Linked DNA regions of Oreochromis niloticus. The protein of the gene in region 2 purifies or fractionates together with the protein of the main gene of each other region. This does not show direct contact. Links are inferred from orthologs where the notes say so. Each region holds a gene or a part of one and is shown on either strand. Other genes may lie near its edges.

Region 1 (7,829 bases), on a different chromosome or scaffold from region 2:
ACCCAGTACCTACTCTTCACACTGTATCGCTTCATGAACTTCATCCTAGAATCAGTCCAGGAGCAAACTTGGGTCATACCAACAAAACCTGAACTCACACACTCTATTCATTCAACAAAATGTAGCGGCTCGTCACTCACTATGTTTGCTGTGGTTTTCAGGGCTTGACATGGTTCTAACTTGCTCCTGGGGATGTCCATGCTTGGGCGTTCGGCCCCTCGACAGCCCTGATGAGGACAGCTTCCCAAGCTTGGGCCCACTTGGGCTCTCCATGCCTGCAATGTACAAACGAGGGGGTACAAACACACAGGAGACATAGCTAAAGGTAATATCGGAAATGCTTCTGCTGCTCATTAATCCGAAACCATTGTTTGTCAAAACATTATTAGCAAAGTCTGCTGCATCAATAGCGTGTGATGATGCTGTCTCCTTGTTCAATAATGCAGCTTCTTTATGTTGGCCATCAGTGCTATTGGCCTGAAGGTTATCTGAGCGGAGGCACACGTGTGGTAATGAGGGTGTGACCTTCCATGTTTTCATTTCAAAATCAATACTCTCACTCGCACACTAACTTCATGCTCTGCCCATTAGACAAAAGGTGAGTCAAAGAGAGGGTGGGGATACAAAGCTACTCTCCTGAGCAGCTGTGCAAGCTTTCTTTACTATGAAAACCAGCGATCTCTCGTTCAGGTCAAGTGAGATACATTACATCCATCAATCCCCATGGCTATATAGTACATGTCAAGTTCAGACTCTCTGTGCTTAAACATCATTCCCCATCAGGAAGGAACAGCCTTCTGAATAGAGGCTGACAATTGCTAATTATGGTGAGTGGTACTGATTACAATCCAACATGGTTTCTCTTAGCACACATTCATGTCACTCTCCTAATGAATTACAACGCACACAAAGGGTCACTCAATGGGGGCCACTCAGTGTCCGTTTACATGCTGTGCAATTCACTGCGTGAATACCACAGAGATAAAACGTTCACAGTAGTTGTAAAGTTTTGATGATTTTGACTATGCACAGTGAACTTGCTGCAGGGTGCAACTTGATGAAATCTTTCACACATTAACACTAGGCATCTTCCTTTTCCGGTATGATGTATCAGAGCATGAAGAGATGCGCTACAGATCAGCTCATAACTACTTAAAATAAACAGATGTGGTGAGAAAGATATGGCTGATTGATGGTGAGTCTTGCTGTGCAACCCTATAATAATTACGTAGGATAACCCCCTTTTAGATTTGCCACAGTGTTTCAACAGCATCCTCCTATTAAATAAATAAATGAATAAATACATTGCAGCTGGGGTTTTCATAAACGATTAATTCTACATGTAAACACAAGCCTGCTACAGAAACTTTATTACCATACACTTAGCTAGACACAACAAAACCCCGTGACACCCACTCACATCTCCTCTCACAATCTGCTGAGAGACCAACCTAGAGATAAGTATTTTAACACCGCACGTGGCACACTGCCACGCTGTGTTTGACAACTACAACAAGGTCTGAGTTGCCTATTTATGTGGTTAACTAAAATAGTGCTCTACTTTCTTCCTCCTCCCCGGCCACACCTACCTTAACTGTCGAGCAGTCACCCAGCACCAGAGCCCGGGTGGCCCCGGGTCATCCACGTGAGGTAGGAGGAGGTCAGGGGCAGGAGACAGGCACCAAAGTAGGCGTTTTTTTTTTTTCCCACCAACGTTATGTTACATGGCAATCACACCTGCTGTGCGTCAAGGAGCGGTCAGGGTGAGCTTGGGGGGCCTGAAAGGAAGCGGACAGTCGTCACCGTCGTCCTGTCCCCCCCAGTCTGCAGACGACGACCAGGTGGACGGTAAAAAAGAGCAGTGCAGGAGATGAGAAATTACAAATTCGTCTGAACATGAAAAGAAATCCAGGATACTTTCACCTTATTTCCAGCTTCCAATTGCCTTGCCCCCCCTCTCCCTCTCCTTTCGTGCATTAATATGTATACCACGAGGCACTTCTCCAACCCCTGTCTTCTCGTTAAACTCTCCAAATTAATAGAAATAGCCAGGAAAGACAGACAGGTCCTCGACTCCTTGAGAAAAAATATTAGAATACGGGATGGTTTATATAGGCAGTGAAGCAAAATGGCGACTTTATTACGAAGGAGGAGTAAAAAAAAAAAAATCCTTGCGCTGGCTGGAGCTAAAGGGAGGCACAAAAATATGTTTAGTGCAGTAATTTCGACGGCTGTGAGTCTGTTGGTTAGAGTAAAAGAAAACGAAGCGAAGGAAAATCTGCAGAAGCGCCAAATCTCGGTCGGGTTTGGTTCACTCCTCGGGTCCTTACCTCGGGATTATTCGTTTTTTTTATACGGATATTATCTCGGCGGCCGTGTACAGTATTACAGTAATGTGTGTTGGGTCATGCGCGTATCCACTCCACCTTTGACAGTTGCAACTACAGTCTTGAGGCAACTTGCAAACTCTCGCGTTATTATTATCAATTTTCGAGCTGAATAATAGTGGGCTTTCTGGCTAATAAACTCGCTGCAATACCGGTTCGTGCTACTCTTCCGACGTAACGGCGCTCGCTCCTGACGACAAAAAAAAAAGGGTCAGGGCTTAAATTCCGTATACAAACCCTTAGCGAATTATTTTAATCTAGCTGCAGCCAAAATGTTCTTCCCATGCGTCCTCCTGCGCAGCCGATAACGGCTTCTTGTCCAGTCTGTGGCAGGCTGTTCTAGCTGTCACACCAGGCCGGTGCTGTAGTCACTGCAAGTAGCTCCCTCCAAAAAAGCCTCTGAAATATCAACTATGCCTATAATTTGGTAAAGCTATACATAAGAGCAAAAGGCTCCACATAAAAAAGTGAATTATTAATTGGCTCAATATTTTGCATTTAAAACCAGACTTTAGTAAAGAATACAAGTCTTTGATGCTGTGTTTTCAATTCAAGGTCAGTATTTAGACATAAGCCATTAGTCCTTTTTTATGTTAATGGAAGCTTAACAGCACACAGGCCTGCAGTCAATAACACTGCTGAGTCTTTAATTGCTGTATAGCTGCAAGCTGGTTACGGGCTATATGAACAGACTGGCATTTCCCCATTTAACACAGAATAATAAATGCTTCACATATGGTGTGAGCCCACATCTTTTTTCTTCTTCTTCTCTCTTTCTAAATTAATCATTCACGGCATCACTGCCACGTCACTCACTTCCAGTAAAACAACAGAGGGTCCCTGCTAGTCTTTGATTGGTGCCAGTCATCATGACCCGATATTTCCTATTAGTGGAAATCATCAGGAACCATGATGTAATTTATGTGGGATCGTTATTGCCAGAGGAGGGCGGTAGATCCTCATTTTTATAGCAGGTTTGACTAATGTGAAAGTATTACTGGTATTTCAATAATGCCTAATAAATATTTCTGAGAAGGGGAGAGATTAGCGATTAAAAAGTTTTTTCTTGATTAAAAATAAAATGACCTCAATGCGCTTGAGCATGAGAAAAGGAACATTAGTACACAATGGGACACTTTTCAAAACAAAATGAATGAAAAAGAATTAAGATAAAAAGCAATAATAAATACAAAGTAAAATTAACCTCATCACAGTCTCCAGCATTTTTGCCAACTCCTTTGCTGTTTCTCAGTATGTCCATATATACATCCTTCTAATCAAGATGGACTCCTGGAGTTAAAACTGAGCATCAGACTAGGGAGGAAATGTGATTTAAGTGACTTTGAATGTGGCATTGTTGCCAGACGGGATTTTATGAGTATTTCAAAAACTCTTACTGGGATTTTCCTACACAACCGTCTCTAGGGTTTACAAAGAATGATCCAAAAAAGAGAAAATATCCAGTGAGCAGCAGTCGCCCATGCAAATATGCTTAGCTGATGCCAGGGGTCAGAGGAGAATGGCTAAAATTATTCAAGGCTTTATATTGTAACACAGAGGTCCTACAATAATAATGAACCTCTGTGAGGAAAAAATAAGACAGTTCTCAAAGCAATGAGGTCCAAGACAGTCCAGCCAGTCCAGTCACTGTCAAGGTGTACCTAATAAGGTGATCAGTGAGTGTATATATGTCCCTATCAGGGCATGTATCCAGGAAGGGTCCCCAGGCTAGATCTGGAGCATGACACATATGCGGAACGTGACACTTATAGCTAAAAGCATACCAACTTGGATGTGACCTGGTTTACTAAAATCCACATCAGATGCTGGGAAACCAAGACAAACCCGTGAGAAGTGGGCTAGTGGAACAAGAAATACAACTACTGATACACATATATATAGATATATATATTTCAGTAGTTGTAGTCACTTTTGTGGTATTTAACACAAAGTGGTTAGGTTTCTATGTGGCTTCATGTTTGTGCATGTGCAATAAAAAGATGACAAGATAAACCCATGTGGGGAGTAGTCGTAGATACTCATTTCACACGATTAGACTATATAACATTAAGTTATTACCACTGAAAAGCTTTCATAGGGTTTCATTATTCTTTTCAGTCAAGGGTCATCTGTATTCTTCCACAAGGGGGCAGTGCAGTCCTGTGGGTTAGAAACAGTTCTTGTTGATTACTGGATAGAAATATTTGGGTTCCTGCAGCATCGTTGTCAGTATTTAATGTGTGACTGGACTTTATGCAGTGGCACGTGTTGGTACAGACATTGTTGGGGTTTCTCTGATCTGTTAGGCCAGAGGGGGCACTCAGCTGACAAACCAAGACACTGTGCAATTGGCAGCTGCCATTCTACAAAGAATATGCAGCTGATCCTGAAATCTGCTTTCCTTAATGGCTGTTAATGAATAGTTCATACAGAGCCTAGTCTGACCCCTGATTAAGACTTCCAACTATGGCAGTGATTTATGTTCCCGCTCCTGCTCTGCTGAGTGAGCAAAAGGCTACTTAATAGTTTATAAAATTGGCCAGGTGGAGTGGTCTGTGCACTTAAAGGCTCTTGAAAAGTTGAACCAGCAGCTTACTGTTATTGACCTTTCCAGGGAAAGTCGGGGGAGCAGACATGCACTATTTCATGCTAATGTGTTTTGTACTAGTTTTCTGTATTAACATCTGGCGGATGCCAGTAAAAATTAAATTCTCTAGCTGTTTAAGTTTATTCCATAGAGGAAATTCACTCAAGCAACCGTTAAAGGGCTTGTCAACAGATATAGCTGATGAGAGAGGACAGAGTGTTTTTCATTCAATTTCAGTGCTGTCATATGACTAAGATCCATCTGATCAAAGTCACTAGCAGATAACGATAAACAATCTGGTAGAAGGGTGTCAGCTTTGGGGTATTTTAGCGAATAATCATAAAAGAGCAGCTTTCTGAAAGGAATTCATTCATCTACAAATGCCATACAGAGAAAGAAAAGACACTTAACAGTAAACAGTATCCAATTAACTGCACCATCCAACCATCTGCGCCAGATTTTTTTTTTTCCTGTCAAGCTTGAGAAAGCTACTGTTCACCGACTCTGTTTATCATACATGTGCCCTGTTATTAACAGGTGAGATGCTTCATGTCTCTCAGTAATTGGATGCCAGTGTGTGTGTGTGCTTGTGAGTGTGCGTGCGTAAATGCGCATGCAAGACACAGACAAAATAATCGTGTGTAGCACTGTTTTGCATTCACAGAGTCAGAGTTGTCACAGATGGACCCACAGTTCAGGAAGCACATGCAACTTCTGCAACAAATATTCAGTAACTGTAATTCAAATTGAGTTTATTTTTCTTAAAAAAAAATTATTTCTGAACATTCTTACACACTTGAAATTATAAACACACTCCGTTTAAGGTAATAACGCCAAAGTATAATGTCTAGAAGCACTTTTTGATTCTGAGGGGAAAACTGCTAAGGTGAGTGAGTTTTGTGACCTTTTAAAACCAAGCGTTTGTGTTTGTGACTAGTATAAAACCATTATACCTATTACAGAAGAGAGCGCTACGAATTATGCATAATGTTAAATATAGAGAACACACAAATAGTTTGTTAAAACTAGAAGATATAGTGAAATTACAGACATCATTAATTATGTTTAGGGCAAAAAATAAAACATTGCCTCTTAAGTTACAAAGATTATTTGTATTGTGTTCATAAAATGGGGATAGTTGAAAGAAGTTTTATTTTAAGCATCAGTTTGCTCAGACCACACAAAGGCAAATGAGTCCAACAGTTATAGGTATAAGAATGTGGAATTGTCTCCATGATCATCTTAAGAGTTGTACAAATGTTTATCAATTTAAAAGGTGCTATAAGAATAAAATGTTAAACCAATATGAAGAAGATTCAAATAACAGGAGTTAATTGTAGAAAGAATTATCCTTTTTAATTTGCTATTTAGTGGTATTGCTCATTGTTGATTATATTGTTTTGTTTTGTTGTGTGTAGAATAGTGTCAGAGTGTATTTTGGTTGTCAGTGCCTACTTGCACTGTTATAGATAGGTGTTAATAAGAATTTATTCTTCTTCCTGCTTCTTTTCATGCATGGATACAGTGTTATTTTAATTGAAACAAAGGTTTGTGTGTAGGAAATTAATTACTGTTGTACCATGTGTGAAACAAAATAATGAAATGCAATGTTTCTATGCATTTTCATCTTTGCTTATGTGTAATGAATGTAGAAACCCACAAGTTGCATTTCTCTATGTTTAGCAAGAAAATAAAAATGTTATTTCACAGTTTAAGCTACATATTCATTTTTTAGAAGTCTTAAACATTATTTGACCATCATATCAACCTTTTTAAAAGCTTCAAAACTAAAAATGGAACCATGTTGCATTTATTTTTGGATGTGTCTGCTGTGTTTATTCCAAAATACCCAAACCATTTATCATTTCCAAGAGAGACTCGGGTTGATTTGTTGAAACAGAGAGGACAATCTATCATTTGCCTCTGTAGTCAAATTTGATAATGGGAGCACTGCTTGCCAAAAACTGTTCCAATCGATCAGGTGCTGCGTTTAAAGAAGGTTAGAGGAACCAATTGTAGTTTTGAAAATTATTTTAACTTAAAATATCTCTCTATCTTGGAAAAATATTGGACGTTATATTGTAAGATTGACTAAATAAAGGGTTAAATCATAGTTTTTGGCAGTGTATATTAGGCTGAAGTGTGATTATCTTATTCTGGGGCTTGTTTTTTTGTTTCTTTTCCATTCTTTCTTTTATGCCTTCCTTTGTCTTGTCTCCTGTTTTTAGCTTCATTTGTTGTGCCTTTTCCCCCCCATTGTAATTTTACTGTCAAATACATGCATTTCAATGGCTGCCGATTAAAAACTCAACCAACAATTCATATCAGTTAGTTTATTCAAAAAACATGATGACAGCTTTCATCATTTTCCATTCCATCCACTTTTGAATCTGTAAAACAGAGAAACGTTTTCTCTTTTTGCAGGTCATAAATCATCAGTCAATGTAAACCAGTATTTACAGTACATTGTTTCATCTAAAAATAAAAGTGTGTTTTCTTCCCATTTAACAGTCGATATCTCACATTACTCAAAGCGTCCTTGTAAAAGGACAGTTGGAAGATGGTGGGTGCAGATGTTTTGGAAGTTGTGTTTTTTTTTAACGTTTCATTTCACTGATTTAGTCATCTGTCTTGAGCATCACTGTCATCGTCGTTGTCTGCTGTTGCCTAGAAGGACATCAAAGGTGCTGGTTTCGTTCACAGTGGGAATCTCAACCGTATCTTGTTTTCTGACCATTTGACAGTACAGCGTCACATCAGGGACAGAAACAAGACGGAACACAAACAGAGGCTCGTCCTTCTTGTTGTATCTGTGTGTAAGAGGTGACATACAGTATACAGGATCACAGACAAAA
Region 2 (7,266 bases):
AATCTAAATGTGTTTTGGAAAAATAGACCGCATAGATTAAGTGTTACACACTGGATAAGACGGTTGATGTCGAACTGGAATGTTGGCATGTGAATATAAATATCTGGTTTGCACTTTTCTCTCAAAGTAGAGTTTGGAGGAGGGGCTAATAGTTTCTTTTCTATTCAGTTCCTATGTTTTCCTGCGTTTTTTTATTATTGCTGTGAAATATTTTAAAAGACTTTAAAAAGAATGTAGACTCAAGATTTATGTGAGTGATTCCCGAGAAAGGAAAGATCAAGTTAAGACACGATATGATAAGATCAGACAAACACTGTTCAGCAAACAACCCGGAACAGATGTAACTACTGATGTTAAAAAAAAAAGCATGATTTTGTAGAAGATACGCTCTTGTGCAGCAGCATTTCATCATATTCACTGTATATCGACGCATCTCTATGTGAATGACTACAGAGTGAAAATAGAGCCTCAGCTAGGTGGTGTGCATAGTTTTTTAAATCTGAACTCATAATCCACAGATCTTCCTGGGTGGTTTTGTAGTGGCAGTGAGTGCTGGCCTTGCTGCTGACTGTGCTGATGGTATCTTGAATCCTTAGAAGAGGGATGACTGGCATCACAGTCCTAACTAAAGGTGAGTAGCATATTCTGATTTGTATCCTCTTTATCCTTCAAAACTCCACGAATAGCATGCAAAAGAAGGCTATTTTGTGTTTTTGACCCATCTGCGGCGAAGTGTAGGAGCACCCACATTAAAAAGCTTTTAATATGTGAGGTTAAAGTCATTATCAGTGGTATCCCTAACCCTAGTGCTGTGTTTTGGAGAGAAGCATATCTATCCACCCACCCATCCATCTAGCTTCTTCTGCTTATCAGATTCAGCGTCGTAATTGGAGCCTGTCTCAGCTTCTTGAGAGAACTTTCTTTTTAAACTTAAAATTACACATTTTAATAGTTTAGGTTAAAATGATGATCACAGATGATGACCTAAACCTTTCTTTTACTGTCCGAAGAAGCCTTAACCCTAAACCTAGATGTGTCATGCTTTATCTGGTGGACGTTAAGAGACTTAAACTTTGCTGATTATGTCCTAAACAGTCTTGATATAGTTGGATAGCTCAGGAGTCTTTCATCACCCTCTTCCTCTCCCTCTTATGTCTCTGATTAAACTTTCCCAGAAATCATCATCTGTAAATGTAGAAGTCTACAACTGGAGCCCATTAACTGGCACAATTAAACCCAAAAAAGCACTGTGTCCCACCTTTACTTTTTAACACTTTATTACAACTGTTTCACTGCTCAGGGAATACGCTGAGCCAAAACTCAACTGATCAGCACTTCTTCTGCTGCTAATTCAATCCCACACCAGCGTCTGCTGGATTGGCCCCTGCTGCACGCCTGTTATTTAAGCATTATCTGCTCCCCGGGTCGCCTCAGTTCAGACAGCTCAGCTCTGAATGGAGCTCAGGAGCCGGTGTCTTCCTCTGTGTGTCACACTGCATAAAATCTGGGTTAGCTGGAGCGCAGCACCCAGGGGAGGCTTTTCTCTCTCATCCTCGACATGTCTCCCTGCCAAACGGACACGGGGAGTGTTGGTAGTGGCGGGCGGGCGGGCGGGGAGGGGGAAGGCGGGTAGTCACAGCAGAGTAGTGCAGTATGTCAGGGCCTACGGCACATGAGAGCCCTGGCTGGTTTCATCCTTTTTTTTTTCTTTTGCAAAAGCATAGTGAGAAACATGCACGGTTATGAGTACAGATACCTCATTCACACACTCGCACACATAGATAGTGTGGGTTAGGGTACGTAAGCTACACACATACACACACTCACACACACACACACACACACACAAAGCTTCCACATCACCAGCCTCTCAATCTGGCAACCACAGACACCTCAGTGGCCAGAGGCTTAGTGGGTGGGTGGATGGGGGGACTCCAGTCACACACACACTCTGATACACTTCTCGTGAACAGACACACACAGACATGTCTCCTCTGCCCATGTTGTCTTGCGTTGCACCGTCTCTCTCTTGGCAGATGTGGCCTTTGGATCAGACACTAACAAAATTCCTCTCATTTGTGGGCGCGGGGCGAGCCGAGCCGGAGCAGCTCGAGCACCTGTTGCAGCAGCAGCAGCAGAGAGGAGGAGGAGGAGCGTGCTCAGCAGGCGAGGCGTAACTGAAATGCTTGTTTACATGATACCCGGTTATTGGTGTGGGAGCCACAGCTGACAGACTGACACATAGCGTAGAGACGGAGCGCGGAACTTGGAGACATGGAGGCTTTACGAGATGTCACAGCGGCCGGGCTGCCTGAGCTGTCGGCCGCGTGGTCGGGATGGCTTTCAGCTTCTGACACTTTTATTTAGCGCATATTTCCACATTTTTCCCCTCCTGCGTTCACTTATAGATCTGTTGGGACAACAGGAGGGTTAGAGAAGGTTGTGTCATGGTGGGGTTCAGGGAGATTTAGGCGTGCTTGCACTGCAACATTTAAGTTATCGTCATATAAAACTTCCTTAGGTTACGATGTGAGCAGGACTTTGTTCAACAGTGGATAACACAGCTCTGCATGTAAAAATAGAGTAGTAATACCTGTGTGTACCTACTATTTTAATTACTGTATATAATTTTATAGACATATAACTTTCTTTAATTTTAGCTGAAGTGGATTTTAAACTTTTAAAAACATACTTTTCTTCCTTTTTTAAGAGATAGCAAGGTGCTATTTGAATATCTCTGTGGGTGTCATGTGTGTACATGTGGCTTGTAGTGTAAACCACAATGTGTGGTCAGTAAGACTAGAAAGCTGGTTCACTGAGGTGACAGTGAGCCTGGATTCACACTGCTTGCATTTTTTAAATTGCATGTGCTCGGCATGCAAACTGAATGGAATGTAAAAGACCTTTTGACTTTGGTGTGGTCTGACCCCCGAGGCCTCCTCAGGGAGCTCAAGCTTCAGGTGCTACTGGGTGGGTGGCACTTTAACTGTGGGGTGGTTGAGCAGGTGACTGTACGCCAAAGGCTGCTGCAGGTGCACAGTCTGAGTCTGCCCCCAGGCCATTTCCTCCACTCTTACCCTGCCTTCTCTTTATACTATACTTTCAAAATAAAGGCTGAAAATACAAAAAATAAATGTTACTACATATATTAAACCCTTTCACAGTGTGTCTTTGGTCCTGTCTTTCTCCCCTCACCCTCACGTGGTCACAGCAGATGGCTGCCCCTCCCTGAGTCTGGTTATGCCAGAGGTTTCTTCCTGTTAAAAGGTATTTTTTCCTTCCCACTCTCACCAAGTGCTTACTCATAGGGGGTAGTGTGATTGTTGAGGTTTTCTCTGTATTATTGTAGGCCCTTTACCTCATATAAAGGTAAAGACCCTTTACCTTTATATAAGTCTACTGTTGTTGTGATTTAGCACTTTATAAATAAAATTTCACACTCTTCCCTCTAACTCTGACAAATGTTCAGACACTTTAGGCCCATCTACAGTTTGCTGAAGCGAATTAAACAGTAAAGACCTGAACAGCTTATTGGAACACAGGTGCTGAGATATTAAAGGGACCAAGGGTCTATGACTACTAGATATTGGCTCACTGGGAAACAAGAGATTGCGACAAATGTGTAATTTGTTCATTATTTATTCAATATCGCTTTCAAATGAAATAGGAATCATGTATTTTAAAACATAATGCACCTTTTTAAAATGTATTATGTAAATTCTTTTTTTAAAAACATATATTTTAATCTTTAGTGAAGTCACAGTTTCTCCTGCTTGACCCTGATTTTCTATGTGAGGCTTGAATGCGAAAAAAACAAAAAAAGCAAATGAAAATTCCTTTTGTCAAAACAAAAGTGCCCCCGGGCAGCCACCGAGGGCTGGCCGGGGTCTAGGCATTCCCATGGCCTTACTGCCATCCAGTTGTCACAGCTCGGCGCCAACGAGAGCGCGACTTTACAGCGAGAGCTCGGAAAATCTCTCGTGGCCGTTTTAAACGCCGGTGCGAGAGACGGCGTGCGCACTTGGAGCCGTTTCTCGCGGTGCTTTCTAGAGGTGGAAACGCGGTTCTGCATACCCCGACCTGTTTCCATCCCCACCACAAGTAGTTAATTTTTTAAGCAATACAATCTGATGTAAGTCTGGGCATGGCTGCGGCAGATTTTCCCAACCCCCCTTTCTCACTCACTCTCTCCCTCTCTCTCTCTCCCTCTCTCTCAATCCCTCCCCAGCACTCACACACACGCACACTCTCTCTCACACACACATATACAAGCGCGTGCACAACCCTACTGCTGCTGCTGTTCCAAAATAATTTCTTTCCTTTTTTTTCTTTTTTTTGAAGCACAACGGTGGGGGCTCCGGAGAATATAAGGTGGCCATATTTGATAGATTTGTGTCGGGCTCTGCAATGCAGAAAGCGAGAGTTGTTGCGTGTGATCTGGCAAGTGACAGTGACACCAGGCAAGTCTGTCGGATTCGTGACTGATCCGGACTTGAGGGGGTGGGGTGGGGGGATAGAGAAAGAGAGAGCGAGAGAGAGGGAAAAAAGAGAGGAGGGAAGGGGGGGTCAGAGAGAAAAGAAACAAACAAGTAACAATGTAACTTACATGCAGTCACACACCCCTTTTTTTTTTTGCTCCTTGTAACAATGTGTACGTTTTTGAGGAGGGAGGGGGCGCGCGGAGGGAGAAAGAGAGAAGGAGAGAGATAGAGAAAGGAGGAGGGGGGTGCGTTCTGAAATAATATAGTCAGCCATTTTTTATGTAAGGGGATTTTTTTTTTCTTATTGGGGGGGTTGTTAAAAAATAAATATAAGAGGGCGGCCATCTTTGTTGCTCTGCCTTGGTGTAAAATATTCCAAAACGCCCCCCACTTTTTCCTGAGCCGATTTGAATATTAAATAAATATCATATAATCGGACAAGAACGCGCTTTTTTCTCCCCCTTTCTTCTTCTTCTCCTTCTTCTTTCTCCCCCCCTTTTTTTTTTTTTTTTTTTTGAAATACAAGGACGGATCCAATGACAGGGATATAATGTCCTCTCCTCTCCGGTCCTGTGAGGAAGACGAGGGCATGGTGGTTAATTCCGAGGGAGGAGATTTTGATGAAGAAGACGACGACGGGGACCTGGACGAGAACGCAAGCGACATAAACTCGCCGGCGGCGCCTCGGGAAACTGCAACACCAGCCGCGCCAGGTACAGTAAAAAACGGGAAACTGGCGGACAGGTCGGGAGCGCGCACACGAAATAAGAAATACACACACTCACGCGCGCTTTTTTTTGCTGCTTTTCTTAGAGGCACAAATATAAGATAGAAAAGCGCGTGATGGAAGTGTCCGAAACCCGCAGATCTTCTTTTTTAATCCCCCCCCCCCCCCCCCCGCCTCCTCCAACACATCCCATCCAGGTCCACATCGGTACAGTAGAAAGCTGCGAGATCTCGAGTGCGCGCAGACAACAACAACAACAAAAAAGAAAGAAAGAAAGCCTCCTTTGACACTTTTTCCTTCCTCTTAAAAAAAGCCAGCCGCACTCAGGCTGCTGTCCTGTTATGGCAGCTATACGTTGCTGTAGGTGCCATATTTGCAGCTGCGAGAGCGCGCTGTGCAAGCACAAGTCCAGTTTGCAACAAAAACGCCACAAACTCACACACACAACCTACTGTATATGTGTTTCTGCTGTGTTGTTGTGTTTTGCACTTTGTCCTCACTCCACTTCCTCTTTGCGTCTAGCACATCCCGAGCAAAAGTTTAAACTGAACTTGGCACCGCTGTTGGGGCTTTGCCTCCCCCCCTCACTTCGTCGCAATCTCACTTCACAGCCGTGAAAAGTTGTTGAAAAGAAAAAAATAGTCCCTTGCTTTTTTTTTTATTGGTGGGGTTCTTGGACGTGCAGGACTTGCAAATTGTTTTTAAAAAGCAGAGGTCTGCGGGGGTAATGAGGTCGCCCTGAAGGACTGGCACACACGCTAACATGGACTCTCCTCTTGGCCGGAGGCTATGTATATATCTGATAGCCGTCTGGGGAGACGATGCAGTCATAGAGCCGGGCGGAGAGTGTGTGAAATCGCGGCGAGAGGCATAAACTGCCTGGTTGTCGCTGTGACAGGTCAGGACAGGACAGCACTGCCCCGCACGCCGCTCGTTTTCTTGCAAAGGTGCCTATTGTGCGGACCTGCTCGCTCGTTACCCGTATTAAACGTCTATTATCGGGCATGTTTGGTGCCTCGGAGCTGGGTGTTAGTGTGTCTGTGTCTCATTCTGTTTCTTAACCGCCCCCTTTCGCAGCAGCAACATACAAATATTGATCGCGTCAGGCGATTAATGACTAAATGACATTCTGGAAGTTTCTGTGGCAGTGAACTTGCACGGGGGGGGCAGTGAAAGTGAAGGGTGCAGAGAGTGGAGGCTGGTTAACCACACTGCAACAGTGGAGATCAGATGCACGGCTGAAAGCTGCCGTCGTGGGCTGTACTGTGAGCTCTGGTTTGGATGTGACTGAAGCACAGAGTTAAAAGTCAGCTCGGAGCTCCGAGTGTCAGGACGGCAGCCTGCACAAATCATCCCACTGCGCTCTTTTTTTTTTACTTCATTAGCTCGAGGGCTCCGTGGACCTGCTGTCACGCAGTGCCAGACAGATAAATTAGTGTCGAGGCCTCCCGGCGGGAGGACCTTAACCCCATCGCGACCTTGTTTCCAGCAGCGGTCACAGCGGTGGTGGTCGGGGGCCTGAGGGGAGAGAAGTCGTTCCAGTTCACCGCTCCGGCGGCCTCTGAATCACCGAGCCCCGCGTGCGTGCCGCTGCCGCCCCCGGCGTGCGTTCGGCGGCTGCACGCTGCACGCAGACGGGGGAAGTGGGGTTGGCTGGTGGACGGGGTGGGAGTGAGGAGGAGGAGAGTGGTGGTGGTGGTGAGGGGATGGCTGTTGCTGCTGCTGTTGCTGGTGGTGGGGGGAGCGCACACCAACAAAGGCAGGCAGACAATAAAAGCCGACAAATCGCAGCCTGTGAAACGGGACGAGCGGCTGGCGGCGACCGCAGCCCATATTTTGGTCATGCTTCAATGCTTTGCTGCTTTCTCCGTGAAGCCCGGGCTGCTATCTGCCTTCGTCTTCCTGTGTTTCTCTTGTCATTTCCAAGCCAGGTCGGGCTGCAGGTTAAATTGCTTTCTCCCCCCGTGGCGATGTTTCCCACGTACAATCGGGAATAACTGGCCTGACATTTTCAGATCTTTTGCCACATAATGTCCGCTGGTTTCAGTTGCTGCACAG

Evidence for each region. Proteins that work in one complex are often made in the same cells at the same time.
Region 1: the proteins of chd3 (region 2) and znf512b purify together in Homo sapiens (affinity purification with mass spectrometry; 3 studies listed by BioGRID and IntAct, with this or other methods). This does not show direct contact. The link is inferred for Oreochromis niloticus from reciprocal best matches to the Homo sapiens genes CHD3 and ZNF512B.

What each region holds. Positions count from the first base shown.
Region 1 is NC_031984.2:15,933,644-15,941,472, forward strand, and holds the start of znf512b (zinc finger protein 512B), read right to left. Parts: upstream 3,014-7,829; 5' UTR 1,924-3,013; exon of another isoform or gene 1,779-1,923; 5' UTR 1,590-1,778; intron 276-1,589; 5' UTR 274-275; coding exon 141-273; intron 1-140. UniProt on the Homo sapiens protein: Involved in transcriptional regulation by repressing gene expression. Associates with the nucleosome remodeling and histone deacetylase (NuRD) complex, which promotes transcriptional repression by histone deacetylation and nucleosome remodeling.
Region 2 is NC_031967.2:19,659,891-19,667,156, reverse strand, and holds the start of chd3 (chromodomain-helicase-DNA-binding protein 3), read left to right. Parts: upstream 1-4,263; 5' UTR 4,264-4,460; intron 4,461-4,578; exon of another isoform or gene 4,579-5,007; 5' UTR 5,008-5,031; coding exon 5,032-5,194; intron 5,195-5,851; exon of another isoform or gene 5,852-5,997; coding exon of another isoform or gene 5,998-6,106; intron 6,107-7,266.